Caenorhabditis elegans: one gene and its partners. The protein of the gene in region 2 purifies or fractionates together with the protein of the main gene of each other region. This does not show direct contact. Each region holds a gene or a part of one and is shown on either strand. Other genes may lie near its edges. The genes, in order: cyc-2.1, ttb-1, rha-1 and T24H10.1.

Region 1 (3,014 bases), on a different chromosome or scaffold from region 2:
GCATATTTATCTTTTCGCGTTTTACAAACAAAAGCGTGTCGAGACCAGGTACAGTATTTCTGGCGCAAAATTTTCCGTCTGCGTAGATCTTTAATTGTGTTACATTTTCTTGTGAATCAGATTCATCTTGCTGCCATCTAGATTTTGAAAATTCGTTCCATTGCTCTTCGCCATTCACAATTTCCACGTCACCATATTCCAAATCATCTAAATTCAAAAAAGCTCCGTAATTTGTTCGCGTTCAGCTAAAAAAAGCCCACCATTTTGCTTGGAGACGCAGAACAAACGAGAAGTTGGAAATATCGAATCAATCCGGTGCCGAACAACTGACGGATAACAAACCTCTGGAGTATCAGCCGAACAATAAGTTAAAAGAAAAATAAATCCAAGAAGATGCATGACAAAAAGCTCGTTCCGATTTCTTGGTGCATTGGTGCCCATTTTGGTTGCTATGGTAGCGGAAGAGTGTACACCTGCTGTGATGCGACTGTGGGGAAAAGGAAAACGAATTTAGGAAAATTATTTATTTTCCAAATTGACGTATATTCTTGCTACTAAAAATGAGAATGACACAAAATTAGTGCAATATATAAAAGTAAAACAATCGAAAGTGCCTAACTATGAAAAATTGCCGTAGCTAGGCGAGAACATTTAGGGGAATATTTAGAGGGACTTGGCGGATTCAACCTCGATGTACTTGATGAGATCTGCACGCTCGTCAGCCTTCTTGAGTCCAGCGAACACCATCTTGGTTCCTGGGATGTACTTCTTTGGGTTGAGGAGGTACTCGAAGAGGGTCTCGCGGGTCCAGACGACTCCCTATAATTTTTAATTTATAATAAACGTTAAGAAATAATTTATTAGTTGTACCTTGTTCTTGTTAGCAGCGGAATAGTCGAATCCAGACACAGTTCCTGATGTACGTCCGATAACTCCGTGGAGGGTTGGTCCGGTCTTTGTGGCGGTCGAGTCAACGACGTGGCACTGCAAGCATCTCTGCTTGTACACCTTCTTTCCCTTTTCGTAATCTCCAGCTGGGATATCGGACATGTTGAACCCTTAAAATACAGAAATTAGTGAAATATATACTAAAAGAGTCTAGCAGGAAGAAACCGCCACAGCAGCACTTGGGGAACCGCCCGTGATGCAATAGCGAGAAAGAAACGGGGGTTGTGCCATCTCTCGGGCGGCGAGGAGACGCAGAGACACAGAAAGGCCATAGAACAATCGGGCGGTCGCTCTCGGGAGTCTGGGTGAAATATCATTCAGCGAGGACATACTAAAATGACGCTGTTGAACTTTTTATCTATGATCTGAAAGGTTTTGCCCTTAAAATACAAAAAATAAAGTTTCTACGAGATTTACCGCATTTCTAACGCTTACAACTTACAAAATCTACAGTTATCCAGATTTTTATCAACTTATCTCAATTATTAAGAATTAATTTACCTTATCGAAATAGTGATATTGAACTTTAAGGAATGTAGTTACAGATCTAGTAGCGTAAGAACTGAATATAGAAGAGCAGATATCTATATTGCAAAAGAACAAATTTGAAAATATTGACAAAATTTACCAGTCACACAAGTCAGCTGGGCGGTCCGATGCCTTATGGATCATTGCAATGATCATCTAATAACATCAACAAGTGCTGCGCACGAGATAAAAACAGTAAACAAATAACAAGCTGAACAAACAGGATTCAAACCACACAAATTTAAAATGAAAAATTAAGAAAAAAATTTGTTTGCAACAATTTATTGTAACAAATAACAATAATCCGCAACTTAGGCGAAGTGGGTGTTTTGGCGAGCGGTTGTGAAGACGCTGAGGTTCTTTCTCTTGGTGACGCGATGTGGGAGTGGGAATCTGATCTTGGCGTCGTGGAACATCTTGATTCCGGCACGCTTGGTGTCTTCGGCCTTGACGGTTTGGACCTTGAGGATGTGGATGCGGTCAGCTTGGGCACGATGACGAGCTCCCATGTCACGGTAGCACTGGGTGACGGCTCCGGCAACGGTGGTGTCACGGTACTCACGGTACATGTTGTGGTGTCCGGTACGGGAATCGTACTTGAGCCAGACTCCGTAGTTCTTGACGGTTCCTGGGTTCTTCTCGAACACCTGAAAATTTTATTGTAAAATGGGTTATTATTATTATTTTCCACAAACCTGCTTGATCGAAAGGATCTCTCCGTTGGCCTTCTTCACACGACGGAGCATAGAGACGAAGTACCAGAAACGAGACTTGGCGATGACGTGGTTGGTGGCGAAGATTTGCATCTTCCAGATTGGAGTCACTGGCTCCTTCTCTGTTGGGATTTTGCGTCCGACGACGACGTACTCATTAAGAGTCTCTCCAAGAGCCTTGGTTGGCATGTTTTAACCCTGAAAAACAAAAATATGATGCAAGGAATGGGGAATGAACAATCTGATATAATAGCGAAAAACAATTTTAGGATAACGTTACAATTTTCTTTTAAAATGGAAAGGTAGATGGGAATTACCGAAAAAATATGAGTGCATATTGCAATATTTAAAAACTATGAAAAAACTGTTAAATTTTTGTAAAAATCAGAAAAAGAAAAGCGGAAAAAAGCTAAAAAATAGGATCAGGAAAACCCAAAATGAATTTCAACGCACAAAAGTGTATGCGGCAGTGCTAGTTTTGTTGCGTGTTCTATTACCGTATCCTTCATACACTCGCCGTCGATTTACGGGGAGCGGTGGAGCGCACTTACTCCTTAGATTTTTAAGCAATTTTTTTGTTAAAAAGATATAGAAATGTGATTTTAAATGTTTTATTTTAACTATAAAGTTATAATATTAATTTATTTGTACATATTCAGACTTTAATGGCTCTTGCACATGTTTCACGACGGGTTATCAGCAATCAAATACGATGCTTTGCTGCAGCGAATCAAGAGACGAGTTTAGTACATGTTGAAAAGCAATTCGAAGCTATAGAACCGGAGAAAAGAGATAAAGATGCATTCATGGCAGCGATAGGTTTGG
Region 2 (4,820 bases):
TTAATTTGTTTTAATTGAAACAATCAAACAGGACATAATTAAAAATGTAGATTTTTTTTTTTAAATTGAAAAAAATTGGTTTTTTCCAACATTTAATACTGAATTTGGGCTATAAAATTCTGAATTTTCTGCCTTCTTCCTATATTAAATTCGGAACTTGCGTGATTTCCCGTTTTGCGTGTCGCAAAACCACCGTCCGAAAACTGAGCACACACTTTTGTCTCTAACTTTGCTGTTACTGGATATTTTTTGATTTTCTTTTTTTCAGAATATGTAAAAATATTTTTTCTATCTTATTATCTAAATGGTTATGTAATTGGTTCATGTCTTTTAAGAGAAAAGTTAAGTAAAACACCAAAAAAAGGCGTTTTTCGCGTGTCATGTCGCTTTTTTTGCACAGTGTTGAAGGTGATGGTACAAAATTTATTTGAAACAATTGGTGTATGTCTGGGATTGTTAAAAAATTTTAGTTTCTGCAATTTGATTGACTGTGAGCAAAGTTATAGTAATTTGAAATTTACAGCTGAAATATCTCTACATTTTGAAAAGTGTATGGAAAACATGTTTAACCTCAACATTTTTGTTAGGTTTTTGACATCAATATGTGAATTTGTACGTAGATTTCGTTTTTTAAAACAGTTTATCAAATATCTACCTGGAAACATATGAAAAAGTTCAAAATTTGCGAATTTTGCAAAACATTTTAAACATAATAGGAAAAAATAATGTTAGCAGCGTTGCATTGGTTCGACCCCCACCGAGTGTTATTTTTTTTTTAATTTTTTTTTTGAAGAGGTATTCGGTTAGGAGTTGATGCTAAGGTACTGTAGGGGTACTGTAGGTGGTAAAAATAGGTGTACTGTAGGTGTACTGTAGGTGGTAAACGGTAGGTGTACTGTAGGTGGTAAACGGTAGGTGTACTGTAGGGGTACTGTAGGTAGTAAACGGTAGTTTTTTGTCCAAAAACTTTTTTCCCCCTCTCAGAACTTTGCAGTCGTTTGAGCTATTCTGATTCTGAGCAAAATATATAAAACCTTGAAGATTTCTTAAGCGAGTGACAAAAAAATTTTGAAAATCGAGTCATACATCACAGAGATAATCGACCCAGAAGAAAGTTAATGCCTTTTTTGATTTTTGATTTTTCAACTTTGAGCGTTTGTTAATTGGTTTGTTTAAGATTAATTTTAATTCTGTTTTTTTGAATAGACTCAGAATTTGACACTGAATTCGAAAAATGTAAGATTCAAAAAAATTTTAGGGGAAATGTTGTCCAGCTTTAAAAATGAAAAAGTTTTGAAAAAAAACTACCATTTCATATCCTCACCTAAGTTTTCGAAATATCTTTTATGTTTTTACATTTTCTTTTTAAAAGTGAAAAATCTTTTCAGCATATTTCATCAATCTTAGTAAAAGTTCAAATCAGCGCCGAAGGCGCTAAATAAGACTTCAAAGTGTTAAATTAGAAACAACTTTTTAGTATGTTTCTTTCTTTCAAAAAACTTTGAAAATCCAGCGCCGAAGGCGCTGATAACTCTTAAGAATTTTTGAATTTGAAACAACTGCTTAGAATATTTTTCTAATCTTAGAGAAAATTCAACTCAGCGCCGCTGGCGCTAAATAATTTTTAAGAATATTTCAATGTGAAACAACTCCTTACATTAGAATGTTTCTTCAATCTTAGAGAAACTGAAAACTCAGCGCCGGAGCCGCAAAATAATTCTTAAAATGTAAAAAAGAAACAAATCCTTAGAATATTTTATTAATTTCAAGGTGAACACACTTAACCCCAACACAGGTTTGAGGCGAAGCCGAGAACCTACGCCAGCTACCTTGCTGATACGTTAGAGCGAACTAACCCTATCCCCACTCCCGAAGGCATAGCGCACGTCGTGCGCTAGTCACTGAAAATAGGTGAAAAAAATCAGAAAATTGCATGAAAAATGCCGGCATCATTAAGAAAATGGGTGAAAATCTTGAATTTTCAATTAAAAAACAATAATTTAAAAGAATTTTCTGATTTTACAGAGTAAAATCTTCCAAATTTGAGATTTTACCCAAAACTTTCCTTGTGAAGACGTTATTCATATGGAAAATTATTGGAAAAAAAGGTGGATACCTTCATTTTCCACTTTTTTTTTCGAAAAATCGATGAATGACATAGAAACGTTGCTTTTTTACAAATATTCAGGTTGAAATTAAGTTTTTTCACAACTTTCTTTGAGTTTTTACGGAAAAAACTAAAACTTTGATATTAAATTTTTTTTTTTCGGGAAAATTCAGGTTTCATTGACAATTATTCAACTTTTTAAGCGTTGAACAGCTGTTTTTGTCCAAAAGTGAAAGAAAAACTTTCAAAAAATGTCTAAATTCGCTAATTTTTTCCGGCTGAAATCGTTCAAAATTGAGATTTTTTACAATTTCATGTGTGTTTTCAGCAAAAATCCAGGAAGAATGTCATTTTTATAGTTTCTATTCCAATTTTAAAGTGATTCCTTTGCTTTGAGATTATAAATCTGTTTTTTGACGAATTTCCCAACATTTTTCATCGAATTTTTCAGTTAAAATCCAATATTCTACCTGAATATTTCTTGGCAAGTGAATTCTCTCGCTCATTTCCCTAATAAGGCTCATCGCGGCGGTCATTTGACGATCCGTATTGTTCATTGACTTTCTTTGAGCATTCGCCAAACTATTATCACTGTCGGAGCCGCCAAAGCCCACGGCGATAGTTGTGCTCAAATCTCCGCCGCTGAGCAGCGGATTTTCCGGTGCTCCGACACGAGATGGGTCATTTCCACTACGTTCGTTGGAAAATGAACGCCATTCGGTTCCGACGTCGACCAGACTGAAAAATAGTTAAATTAATTGCTTTAAAAATGATTTAAAGATCATTTTTTGCAGGAAATTATATATTTTTAAGGCTCACCGATCACCGACGACCAAGCCGCACGCCGGACAGACCAGATCCCCGGCACGGTGATCTTCGATCAAATGCACGTCTGGATGGATCGGACACTGGACTGGAGCCGACATTTTCTGCTGAAATTTTGAACATTTTCGAGTTTATTCGGATTTTTAACGGTGAAAATGAAGGAAATTCGAATAAAAGTCGATTTTTTGCCAATATCCTAGTCATTTTTTTCTTTTTAAAAGTCTTTTAAATCGATTAATGACCAATTTTTACACTATAGTGAACTGTAAACTAAAATTTCCGACGAAATTCGCACATCATTTTGCATTTCGAAAAAAAAACACAATTTAAATAGCCAGAAACGGAGTGTCGTTAGCGCGCCCTGTTTAGTGTCAGGGCGAAAATTGGAGGGAATTTAAACGGGATTTTTTTAGGATTTATGAAGAAAAAACAAGTTTTATAGCGACTTTGTTTTATTTTGAAGTAAAGTTCAAAGAGAAATGGCCAGCAAGCGTTGTAAAAACGGGCATTTTTAGGCGAATAGTTTGTATTTTCGTCGATAAAACATGAGAATTTGGTTTAAACTACTTTCTGAAGAATGTAAAAAACGAGAAATCGTGAATAATCGCCGAAAATTGAGAAAAAAATGTATAAAATTCGATTTGTTTGTTTGTCCGAGAGGAGTACACGGTCGCGTGGCCTAGGAAACTTTAAGCGCTTTGCGCGCGGGTGTTCAAATAATAGTTAATTGGCAACAGAGATTTTTGGGCATGCCCAAAAATGCCCGGGCACTTTGAAGCCAATTATCTTCCGTTCTCGGTTTTTTTACAGAAAATATTGAAGTTTAATTCATTTGGCAAATTTTAAAGAAGCTTCCCCAAAAACATCGCCCCAGGAAAGGGAGAAGAAGGATTTTTAGCCTTAGGAGTTTAAAAATTATGCAGTATTGCATTATATATAGTTATATACAAACATTGTATATAAATATATTTAAATATATTACCCAGACGCAAAATTTGCGATTTCAATCGCGTTATTTCGCCAAAAATACGGTACCCGGTCTCGACACGACAAATGCCGAATGGTCTGCGCCTATAAAGAGTACTGCGGAAGTTTTGTAAATTTTCATAGTTTTTCAACAAAAATTAATTGATTCATTAGTAAAAACTCAAACACAACAATATATTTTTTATAACTACATAAATTCGTCAAAAAGTACACTATAAAAAATACATTAGAAGCCAGCAAAAAAAGTTTGAAAGTACAGTACCGTTTGAAGGCGCACACCTTTTTGCATTTAACAACAATTTGTCGTGTCGAGACCGGTAACCGTATTTTTGGTGCAAAATCACAAATTGTCGGTGTTAAATAGATCCCTTTTTGCCGCCCCGTGAGCTCAAATTGCCACGTAGCATGTGCAATAAATTCTGTATGTAGTCTGCTCAGGATCCCCATACGAACACCACGTTTCCCTTCTCAAGTGCAACCCATCAGATAGAGACCGCACACGTGGGGGGTCTCTTTTTCTTTCTCTTCTCATTCTCTATGTTTGTTGGTCGGTCGACAGAAGGGGCAAGCCCCACCCCCAAGGGGCAAAGGTCGGTTTTTGCGCGGAGAGTGTGGCATTGTTGGAGACGCAGAGAAAATAGTAGTCTAGTTGATCGGAGGGAAAAGGTGTCTCAGAAGTTCAATGCAGTGACGGGAAATTTAGAAGATAGTAGGAAGTGCAAGTGGTGAAATACTATTCTGATGAGCTACTATAAAATATACAACAAAAAACTATTGAAAGTGGTATAACTTTGTTCATTGCAGAGATATTAATAAAATGCCAACTGACCAAAAACAAAAAAATATTTTTGAACATTTTTCTAGTTGACAGTTTTTTCATAACTCGTTTGCTTGAAAAGTT
Region 3 (7,391 bases), on a different chromosome or scaffold from region 2:
AAAAAAGATCACTGTTGTTATCGTTTTTTCAAATCAAAACACGTAAAATATCAACGCAGTAACATATCTGAATACGGAATTCTTAGTAAAAGTAATGTAAAACAGTATTTCCTCTCATTTGGCAAAAATTATTTTTCACATTTAACTCAAAATTTGCCATGTCGAGACGGACAACGTACTTTTTGCGAGAAAATCGAGTTTTATGTGCCAGAAACAAGATAGTAAAACTCATCGGATTCTAGAATTTCAAGTATTAATTAATCTATTGAATGAGTTTCCAAAGTTTCCGATCCCATGGTCTGAAAACAGCTGCCTTGGTACCTGGTGTCAAACTAATCACCGTTTCCCTAATGGGGTTATTCAAGTAATGTAGCAAAATGCATTTAAATACATTTGTGACGTCACAAATGTATTAAAATACATGTTTTTATATACTTGAATACAGTTGTGACGTAATTTTTCTACACTTTTTAATTTTCCGACACTACTTGAATAACCCCATAATAGAACAAAATATCAGTATCTAATGAATTATGTGTTTTTTGAATACGAATAACAACCAAAACTTTTATTATAAAAAAGAATAAAACCAAAACGACACTTTGATAAGTGTGACAAGATGAGATCGATTTCCTTATACGATCATAAGTTATAACAACAACAGGCATATATTTGATCTACCAGTTCGATGCATTCCATCCTCTGCCACCACCGCCACGGCCACCACCTCTTCCACCACGACCACCTCGGTAACCGCCGCCGCCGCCAGCTCCTCGATATCCGCTTCCAACATTGCCGTAATTGCCACGTCCGGCGTTCCAATCGCCACTGGCGCCGTAACCTGAGTTGTTGAAATTCTGATAGCCCATTCCGGAATTGGGAGGAGCATAGGGACGATTTTGAGCATATGGATGATTTCCGCGTCTGTTACCGCGGTAAGGGTGCACTTTGCCCCCAGCAGCTGAATTGATTGTATGTTTAATGTGGAAACCGCACATGCAAAAGCATTGTTATGTGAACGGGACAAAAGCGGATCAGCATTTGTGCACATTTAATAATTTAGGGGGTTCAGTTAGTTTTAATTCAAAAAAAAGTTTAATTTTTTCTCTATTTTTAATTATTAAAAAAAAAGTTTTTCGTTAATTATTGTATGGATTTTTACTGAAAAAAAGTTACAAAAAAATCAGATTTTTTATTATAATTTTTGAGAAAAAGATATTTTCCTGGGATATTTCGTGAGAATCATATAAACCCTAATGTTTTTAATTATTAAAAAAAAAACAAAATTCGATGAAAGTTTCAATGTTTAAACATCAAAATTCGTGAAAACATTTTTCTAATTTTTGAACTAATTATCACTATTAAAATAATCTCAATCCAGTGATTTCAAATAATTGTTGTTCAAAAAATGGGTAGGACAAGTGGAGAAACAAAAAGCGAACCCCGTGTACAATTACCTGGTGGAAAATCTTGATTTTGGAATGATGAATCTGAAAATTTCTTAATATTTAAATTGAATAATCAAAATTAAAATCTCACTGTTGTTCGACGGTCCCCAATCAGCATATTCAAGACGATTTGGAGCAGGGCCTTTCTGGATTAACTGAAATTTTTTTATTAAGTCTACGGGTTTTACAATAAATTTTTACCGCATTATCTGTAAGTAGACTGTCTTTGATAGGTCCAGCTTCGGACATGAATTCTTCGGAAGATATGTCACGAAGAAGTTGACGAAGTTCAGCATCTGATGGGTTGAGGCCAGCCAGAGATTCTGGATTTTCACAAGATTTGACGAGAAGAGCTTCGATGCATGGACGAAGACCGATGAGAGCAGCTGCGGTAGAAACGTTCATTCGAATTGTAATACTAGAAAAAAATATTGTGATATTATTTTCAAAATGAATTCAAAAACGTACGTCTCATCAATGCGAACAAGTCCTTCTCCGACACATTCAACTTTTCGACTTCCAAAAACTAACAATTGTATTGCACTGATCACTGACATTTGTTTACATGAGATGCATCTGGTACGAACTTTTTCAGTGAAAACGAGCAGAGGACTTGGGAAATCCATTTCTTGGCGATTATTCATCGGAACAAGCATAGAATACTTGTTGATTAGTGCACTCGATTGCTCTATCGTTAATACTTTCCGTTTTCCAACGTAGTACGCCACATTTGGATAAAGAGCCATGACAAGAAGAGAACGCATCAGATTAAGTTCACGATCTGGTCCATTGACGTTAACAGAGATATCAAACAAAATGTCTTCAGGGAAACTGCATTGATTTCGAAGTACATCAATCAACTGTCTACGTGCTCCACTGAAAAAAATGAATTTAGTTTTTTTTTTAATTCTAGGAGAATTTATAAACAACTTACTCAGTCATTTTGAGCACAGGATTACTCAGCGAGTATCGCTCACAGAATTCGCGCTCAGCAGCAGATGCACCCATTTGAACGGCTTCACGATATCCTTGAATCACAGAGACAATTGCAACATGATCAGAAAACTTGTTTCCAGCAAACTTTCGCTGTGTACCACTCAATCGGCTGTGATGCTTCTCTCGTGGAACGAATGGAGTTGGAAATGACATTGCAGATGCCACGTCACACATCACAGATCCTGCACCAAGAGCAGTTCCAAGAATAAGCACTTTGGCAATGACAGGCTCAATTGGCATACGAGCGAGCATTTTTCCGAGACTTGTCAATTCTAAATTACGATCAAGAGCTCCCATCGCTTGTAACACTGCTTCACTTTCGACGACCATATCATACGGTGGAGGTTGAAGAGCCTTTCCAAGGAATTCACCGACGGATCCGAGACGGAGAAGTTTGATTGTCAAAGCGATTTGATGAAGAGGAATCCGAAGCATTTCAGCAGTTCCGTGATCATCCAGTGCTTCAAATCTCATCTTACTGCATAAATGAAAAGCGTATCCAGCTCTAACACGACCAGCGCGCCCTCTTCTTTGAATTACATTTGTCTTTGATGCCCAGACAGTTGCGAAATGAACCATATTGTTGTTCGATGTATACATTCGTTCCTTTGCTCTAAAAAAAAGAAAGATTTCGGTGATCTTTTTTAAAAATACTTACTTGCAAGAGTCAATCACATAGACTACGTCATCAATTGTAATACTTGTTTCAGCGATATTTGTTGAAACAATGATCTTCCGCTTTCCTGGGTAGTGATTGAACACTTTTCTCTGTTCCTGACTAGTTAATTGAGAATGAAGTGGAAGAATTTCATATTTATTAGCTTGGCCTGGAAATTAATAATTTTGATTGAAGTTTTAATTTGTAAATTTACCAAATTCTTGGTGCTCTAAAAGTCGATTGCAAAGTGTCATAATTTCTGCCCAACCGGGAAGAAAAACTAAAACGGCGCCATCCACTCCGCGGGATGCAATATCGTTCAAAATAGCTTCGATCACACCGAATGGAATATCTTTTTCAGAGATTCTTGACATTGCTGTTTTCAGTGATTCGTTGATTGATGGATCTGTTAGAATATTCATGTTTCGACCCTTATCATCCACTTCTTCATCTCCTTCATCATCATCTGGTGGAGGTGGTCCTCCCTTTTTCCGTTTCTTTTGATCTGGTTCCTCAGGCATATGCTGAAGATTGTGAAGAATGTCTTCCAGGTAGAATGCTGAAATTTTAAATTAATTTAAATATAACTATTTTTATCCAGAACTTACATTGTACAGGAAAAGTTCTTCCATGCATCGTGATAACTGGTGTCGGGCCAACATCTGGGATAGAGCTGAAGAAATTGGTAAACAAATCAGTGTCGATGGTGGCAGACATGAGTACCACACGTAGATCTCGGTATGTGCTAATCATTTCGCGGAGCACAATAAGAACAAAGTCAGTCTGAAAAAAAAAGATTTTTAATTTGATGTGCAGTTTCAACACTCACGTCAACATCCCGTTCGTGAATTTCATCGATGATTACATGTGAAATTCCTCGTAATCCGTTCTCCATCATTCGCAGCAAGACTCCAACAGTACAAAACATGATAGATCCATATGGCCGAGGAGTTGCACTATCGAATCGAACATTATATCCGCATGTTTCTCCAACTTCTTCTCCTCGCTCGTTGGCGACACGTTCGGCCAGTGAAATTGCAGAAATACGACGAGGTTGAGAGACGACTGCATTGAAAGATGCTCCATTAGAATTTTCCAAAAAACTTTCCAGTAGAAATTGAGCAACTTGAGTACTCTTTCCACATCCAGTTTCTCCTTTGATCAGTGTAACACGATTTTCTGCGACGGTTTGTACAATGTTTTCACGATACTGGGCGACAGGGAGTTCTCCACGTTGAGCTGTTATTTTGTCAAGTGCTTCACCTCGCTTGAAATCCTCTTTTTCCATTATTCTCTGACTAATTTGCTCCATTGACATCTGAATTTAATTTAATTTTAAATTATTCGCTTGAATCAAAAAACTTACAAAAGCTAATGGTTCCTCATCGATATTCGAAGCTCTCCATGGATTCCAATTCTGAAGAGGAGGTGCCCAGGAGATATTCGAAGCGGAACAAATTTCTGAAACAGGGAACTGCGCTAGTTTAACATCCGTGAGCAGTGAGGTAGGAGCTTCCGGAGTTGCACTCGTTTCGTTGATTTCTGGCAACTCAAGACCGCACGACCGAACATATTCTGTCACTCGAGTTGAGAGATCTTCTGGAATGGAAATCGCAATTTCAGGAAGCTGAAAATTAATATAATAAACTTCAAAACAACTTAAACTCAGAAAAACTAACCGTGCTGACTTTACTCTTCTTGATTGGTCCACTGTACGATTGCATAATATTGAGATGGAACATCTGACGAACGATATTCATTGCACACGCCGCTTCAGAAACTTTCTTGTTAGATCCAGTACCTTTTCCAACGAGATCTGTAAACATTTTCATTTTTTATTTGGATAAAAGACGATAAAAGAACGCACTTTTGTTGATTTGAGGAACAAAGATTTGGGCAGTCGTCTCCATTGTTCTGTAAATATTTTGGTATGAAAAAAATGAAGTAATTCTTCTAATATGAAAAACTTACTTAACGGTGTTTGATTCTCGAATTTTGGTTCCATAGTTAACCTGTGGAAGTCTCATTTTTTGAAGAAACTCATTCAGCGCTTTCTTTGAATTCTCCATCGTCCATCCTCCATGAATTTCTGATTTTAGATCAACAGTTTCCGATGCAGCAATTTCTTCTGCTTTCTGTGTAATATATTGTTCATGTGTGCCCTCGTTACGTTGATATGCATTGTTACTCCAAGGAAATCTTTTTTGTGGAATTGGTTGCTGTGACTCTTGGAACGAGTTGCCATCTTCTCCACCACAAAACATTGTAGCAGTTTCAGAATCTTGCCACGTGGAAGAAGCTTCAAGACTCGAAGACGTTAGAGTCGGAATATCACTCTGTTGCATTTTTCCTTCTCTGACTAGGTATTGGCAGAAATCTTGAGCAGCATTGGTAGCAGCATCCTGAAAACTTTTGATAAAAACTGATTTCCCAAGTAGCACGAACCTTTTTGTTTGTGGAATTTCCGAAAGCAGTGTAGCCAAATCCTGTGATCCGAAGTTCGCATTTGAATCTCTGCCTACCACTCCTGGTTTCACTTTTTGTATCGTACGTCGGATTTCCATACTTATTCTTTCCTAACCAAGCATATAGAAATTCTTTGACGTCTCTGGACATCTAAAAATAATATTTAACAAGATTTAAAAAGTCGCGAATAGTTCAAATAAAGAGACGAGAAATTAAACTCGGATATACAAGAACAGGATAACAATACAAATTTAAGTATTTTAATATCAATTCATTGACCCGTATTCAGATATTTCATAATTTAATCAGTTAATTTTCCGTCTTTGAGCAATGGCTTTAAACCGAAACCACGTTCTTCTAGATTTCGCTTCTTGTGTAGTTTGAGAAATGTGTCCATGTCTTTCTGTAAAAAAACAATTCAATTATCGAATTAATATTTTTATTTTACCTTGATAACTTCTTGAATCTGTCCACGAACTTCTTCGACAGTTTTCGTATCTTTCTCCAAAATATTCAAACTATTTGCTTGGCTTGTTTGAAGGAAGCACGTTCCATTGTATATCCAAACTGGATCAATATCCTTCTGAAAATAAGTTATTCAGTTTGCATTATTGTTTTACAGACAAACCTCTTTGATTTTTCGGCTAACTTCTCGAAACTTCTGACGTTCATTATCCAGATTCACACATGTTTCTTTGGCGTGATTTAATTTCGTTGAAAGGTAAATTATCTCTGAAGTTTTGTCGCGTAACTCTTTTTGATGGTCATGCGGTGTTTTTGCGTTGTTCAAAGCCATTCCAGTAGACAGGTGAGTGATCATTTTCTTTAAAAAATAACAATTAGCAAGAATATCATGATACTTGCAAGTTAAAAATCCTAAATTTAAATATTAAGATATGTTTGTCGTATGATCTGGTGCATTGTGTGCATTACTGTGTACGGTGTACTGTCAACCGTACCCATTTTCGAAATTGCTCATCTCAATTTCAGATGTTTTTATTGGCGTCGATCCTAATTTTTTGTTTGTTTATTCTATTTATCTTTCATGTGTGCGTCATTTTTATAACTTCAAATGTTTAAAATACATTTTAAAGTTAAATTTCATATATTTTGTGGAAAAATGCCCTAAAAAGAAGATAGATTTTGTACTTCCCTGACCAAACAATGTGTTTACATGCATTATCAATGGCAAAATAGAGAAAACACTTCTAGAATAACTATTTCCTACCCTGTCGATGAACCAAAGAACTATCTTCTTTCTGCAATCTCTCCCTTCTCGGGTTCATGTGTCGACCCAAATTTCGCCTCAACATGTTTTCTTTTCAATTTCGTGTTCCGATCTTTAATTTGTCCTGAATACTAACAATGAATTATCGTAGTTCTCATAACAGATCGAAAATGGCTGATTGGGGTATTGCATTCGACGAGCAGTGTCGATCGGAAGGGCTTGAAGTGCCAGAAAAGGTGGTCGGATTTGTTAATGTCTATGTGTGTTCGTGATTGTTTGTCTGTTTGTCCGTCCGTGTTCCGAGAGTTTCGGCTCTTTTCTCTTGCACTGTACAATTGCTTTTTGCTTCTACCTCGCACAATTTTCATGCTTCTTCCCTGTATGTGTGCGTGGAAACCGAGTGCATTTTTTCAGCGGAACGGAATATATTAATTTCTTTCAGACCGAAAAGGTGCAATCAGGCTCGGAAATGGATCAAAATGAAGAGAATAAAGGTAAGATTCATCGGAGAAACTTCTTTCCTAACAGTTATTTTTACAGGATCAAATGGATGGGGAATTAGCCGAGGAGGCATGTTCGGCGGACCAAAAGCCAG
Region 4 (3,690 bases), on a different chromosome or scaffold from region 2:
TGTGTCACTTAGAGCTGCCATTTTCTGAAAATAAAAACCACCTTTCAGATCGTTTCTTTCCATTCACATTTTCCATTACACCAACGTGACTCCACCTCACCATCAAATTTTAAAAGTGCACAAATTGGCTTCTGGCGTCTACTTACCAAAATAAAGAAGATATTTAGCTTTGATAGAAGAAGAGAATTTAGAGAAAGAAAAGAAAGGATGTATTAATTTCTCCCCTTAAAACCAAACCACGTTTACTTACACGCGGTTATTAAGGTCGACACGTTTAGTTTTATCCTTTTTATTTGATAATGCACCGCTACCGTATCAATTACCAATATTCTTTTCGTCCTGCTATTTCCATCATGTTAAACAGCTCATTTATCAGCTCGCTGAAACAGCTCTCGTAGTAACTATTGGCATTATCGAAAGTGAAAAATATTTTATATGCAATACAAGTTTATATAAAATCAACAAACAAATTTACCACTTTTCAGTGGATATGGGGGGGGGGGGGTGGAGGAGAGTGAAGATTAACAAATAAATTATCAGTTAATTATTACACAAGCCAGAAAACTTATAACAATCATATTTGAGTATCCGTGGAAGAGTGTGTATGGGGTATCTGGCAAAACTACCACGTGAAGACAATTTAGAAGAAAGAATCTCAAAAAATCAGCAAAACTTCCAGCGATTTCCGCACTCGAGACAGAAGACAAATGTTGTCATCGGTTCGTCGGAAGAACGAGTTTGAAGCTGAGTATAGGTGCAATTCTTCTTTCCACATTTTCCGCACTTGAACATGTCTGATGGAGTTCCTTGCTGGACGCTCATTTGATGTTCTAGGATAGCTTCCTTCGTGAATTTATCACGCATCTCCCGGATTTCAGCGGATGCCATTTCTTCGCTGGTCATGGTTGCAAACTTTTCAGCACGGACGACACCAGTGAGAACATTTTCACGTAGAGCAAGGTTCTTTTTATCACGAAGATTGAAAATGCGACTACGAACAGCTGCTGAGTAACTCTTGTTTGTATCACGGTGAACCTATAATCAAAAAGTTAAAAATGTTTCACTTTCAGGATAAACCATACCGAATAGAGTTTCTCTTCAATTTGGACAGCTAACTCCTCTGGATCGAGTGTTCCTTGTGGCATGTCTCCAAACCGAAGTGCCGAAAGTAGAAGTTGTGCAGATTTAAGACGGGTCTCGTCATTTTCAAGATGTTTCGGTGGGAAAGATGCACTGGCAAATTGAGCAACTATTTCTGGCCGACTAGATGGTTCTGGCCGCTTATATGGAGCCTCGATCTTCTTTTTCTCTGGTTTTGCCTCTTCAACACTTTCCTTTCTGTGCTTCTTCGCAGGTGGAGCACCACCATCATCCTGTGACTTGCTCTTTCCATCAACTACATTCTTCCAATCCTAGAAAAAAAATAATTGGAAGTAGCTACATTTCATTTATGAAAAAAAGTACCTTAATGATGTTCTTAGCCCGCTTTGCAACAGCATCATCTGTGACTTTTTTCCGCATCATATTCACTTTTATTCCAATGTTGGTTTTCTGGAAAACAATTTTATTATTACTTGATGGACAAAATTAAAGTAGAACTCACCTGGATTATTTCGATGCTCATTGGAATTTTCGACAACTGGTCGAGCAGCTTATTGCATTGTTCGACGGATTCCATTCCATTATTGCAAATATCGTCAACTTGCTTGCACAACGATTGTGTTTCCTCGAGAGCGGACATAGCTGCTGCAAGACAAAAGGTAAAGAATGACGGAGAGTATTAATTATGTAGTGGATTATAAAGAGAGAAAAGATGTGGACGCGCAAAAAACACAAATATCTGTGAATATTGACTGAAAACGAAATTGGTACATTTGAAGAAACGCGTCAATAATCCGAATAACGCGTCAGCAAAGGCACCTGGCGCATTTCTCGTGCGCCTCTCCTGACCTGTCTCGGATTCTGGGAAAGTTACGATGATTTGGCGATTTTCAGAAAGATTCTTCTCTTTTTATTCTCAATATGCTCAAAAATAATGTTATTCATGATATAATTCATCTGTTAGTTTCAAATATAATAATCCCTTAGATTTTGGAGCTCGTAAAATATCACGGCACTAACATTGTGTCCAGTCGAACTGAATGTTGACATTTATTAGTTAAGTATTTGAGATTTCATGCTATGTTTATAGTCAACAGCCTGAATTATCAGTCAGTTAAAGTTACAATCATTGATCAATTTTCTCTTTTTTTTTTAATTTTCAGTTAACTTTTTGGCCATCTCCATTTATCGCATCTCCATTTAAAATCATAATTAATATTTCTATGAGATTATATTAATCCCATATTGATTCTTGGGACTTTTTTAGTTGCAGAATGTGAAATTCCCATTTTATTCATTTGACTCCAGCTACCCTTCTGTGCGGTATCAAAATAGCTCTTGATGTTAAACCACAAATTTTTGTTTTCAAATATTTCCTTTTCTATCTTAACAAATAATTGTTCTTTTATTCCAGCCGAAAATGGAACGAGCAGGTCGGTCGTCGACCCTTGGTTCAACAGATGATGTCGAGTTGGAACCAAGTGGAACTTCTGCTACAATACACCTTGATATGACTGCAGGTGATCGAAACAATATCAATTTTCCCATAGAAAATTTTCTTAACGAACACTTTTCATTCAGGTGGCGGCAGCTCTTCAAGTGATTTTAACCCATTTGGTGCTATTGATGACGTCAGATTCAAAACAGACGACGATCTTCCAGACGTCATGGCTCCGCCGTTTTTCAGTAAATATGGAGATTTTCATACAATTGATTGGCAAAGAGATTTAGCCAGAGATCGGTTACGGCATAAAATGATATCTAAGAAAAAGTTAGTTGGGTTCCCCCATTAAAATAATGCAAAGCTAAATGAATTTATGACCTGCAACAAATAATATTTTCAGAGTGGATTTCCCCCTTGGGCTTCTACAATCGGGATGGGATGCCGGAGCAGGATGGATATGCGTTCTTTTTGTTGGACTGGCTGCTGGTGCAACTGCTGGAATCATCGATATTGGAGCTCGATGGATGAGTGATCTAAAGGTTATTTATTTATCTGAAGTGAAAATCTAAATTCAATTTTTGAGCTATGAACAAGCTTCAAATTGATTTTAACATGTATAAATTTTTTTTTAATTTTTGGTATAAAAACTGTTTTCAAAAATCCATCCAAGTGTCAAATTAAAATTTCAGACAGGAGTGTGTGCGGATCGTTTCTGGTTGGATCACGAACACTGTTGTTGGTCATCAAATGATACATTTTATAAGGATGATGATTGTAAAGCATGGACGAAATGGCCATGGATGCTGAATTACTACAACTCATCCAGTTTTCTCTTCTTATTTCTCGAATGGATATTTTATATTGGATGGGCTGTTGCAATGTCGACTCTTGCCGTTCTTTTCGTTAAAATATTCGCTCCCTACGCCTGTGGATCTGGAATTCCAGAAATCAAATGCATTTTATCTGGATTCGTGATTCGTGGATATCTTGGAAAATGGACATTTATCATCAAATCTGTAGGACTTATTCTATCGTCAGCTTCTGGTTTGTCTCTTGGAAAAGAAGGTCCAATGGTCCACTTGGCTTGTTGCATTGGAAATATTTTCTCATATTTATTCCCTAAATATGGTCTTAATGAAGCAAAA

What was found.
Region 1: the proteins of ttb-1 (region 2) and cyc-2.1 fractionate together in Caenorhabditis elegans (co-fractionation; one large-scale study listed by BioGRID). This does not show direct contact.
Region 3: the proteins of ttb-1 (region 2) and rha-1 fractionate together in Caenorhabditis elegans (co-fractionation; one large-scale study listed by BioGRID). This does not show direct contact.
Region 4: the proteins of ttb-1 (region 2) and T24H10.1 fractionate together in Caenorhabditis elegans (co-fractionation; one large-scale study listed by BioGRID). This does not show direct contact.

Annotation. Positions count from the first base shown.
Region 1 is NC_003282.8:4,747,392-4,750,405, forward strand, and holds cyc-2.1 (Cytochrome c 2.1), read right to left. Parts: upstream 1,059-3,014; 5' UTR 1,051-1,058; coding exon 871-1,050; intron 820-870; coding exon 664-819; 3' UTR 513-663; downstream 1-512. Other genes in the region: tctn-1 (Tectonic domain-containing protein), read right to left, coding at 104-207, 261-441; rpl-18A (Large ribosomal subunit protein eL20), read right to left, coding at 1,788-2,123, 2,172-2,378; Y17G9B.5 (Evolutionarily conserved signaling intermediate in Toll pathway, mitochondrial), read left to right, coding at 2,855-3,008.
Region 2 is NC_003283.11:155,044-159,863, reverse strand, and holds the start of ttb-1 (Transcription initiation factor IIB), read right to left. Parts: upstream 3,040-4,820; 5' UTR 3,034-3,039; coding exon 2,927-3,033; intron 2,846-2,926; coding exon 2,578-2,845; intron 1-2,577.
Region 3 is NC_003280.10:8,877,942-8,885,332, forward strand, and holds rha-1 (ATP-dependent RNA helicase A), read right to left. Parts: upstream 5,719-7,391; coding exon 5,548-5,718; intron 5,505-5,547; coding exon 5,074-5,504; intron 5,017-5,073; coding exon 4,970-5,016; intron 4,919-4,969; coding exon 4,782-4,918; intron 4,730-4,781; coding exon 4,469-4,729; intron 4,421-4,468; coding exon 3,932-4,420; intron 3,886-3,931; coding exon 3,711-3,885; intron 3,662-3,710; coding exon 3,317-3,661; intron 3,272-3,316; coding exon 3,103-3,271; intron 3,058-3,102; coding exon 2,383-3,057; intron 2,325-2,382; coding exon 1,917-2,324; intron 1,867-1,916; coding exon 1,650-1,866; intron 1,604-1,649; coding exon 1,540-1,603; intron 1,491-1,539; coding exon 1,458-1,490; intron 962-1,457; coding exon 678-961; 3' UTR 555-677; downstream 1-554. Other genes in the region: T07D4.5 (P53 and DNA damage-regulated protein 1), read right to left, coding at 5,870-5,971, 6,017-6,151, 6,197-6,388; ddx-19 (RNA helicase), read left to right, coding at 6,967-7,032, 7,239-7,290, 7,337-7,391.
Region 4 is NC_003280.10:9,097,429-9,101,118, reverse strand, and holds T24H10.1 (Putative transcription elongation factor S-II), read right to left. Parts: upstream 1,749-3,690; 5' UTR 1,742-1,748; coding exon 1,604-1,741; intron 1,552-1,603; coding exon 1,465-1,551; intron 1,413-1,464; coding exon 1,083-1,412; intron 1,036-1,082; coding exon 664-1,035; 3' UTR 550-663; downstream 1-549. Other genes in the region: T24H10.5 (uncharacterized protein), read right to left, coding at 1-21; clh-5 (Chloride channel protein), read left to right, coding at 2,522-2,621, 2,683-2,872, 2,946-3,084, 3,235-3,690. UniProt on the Caenorhabditis elegans protein: Necessary for efficient RNA polymerase II transcription elongation past template-encoded arresting sites.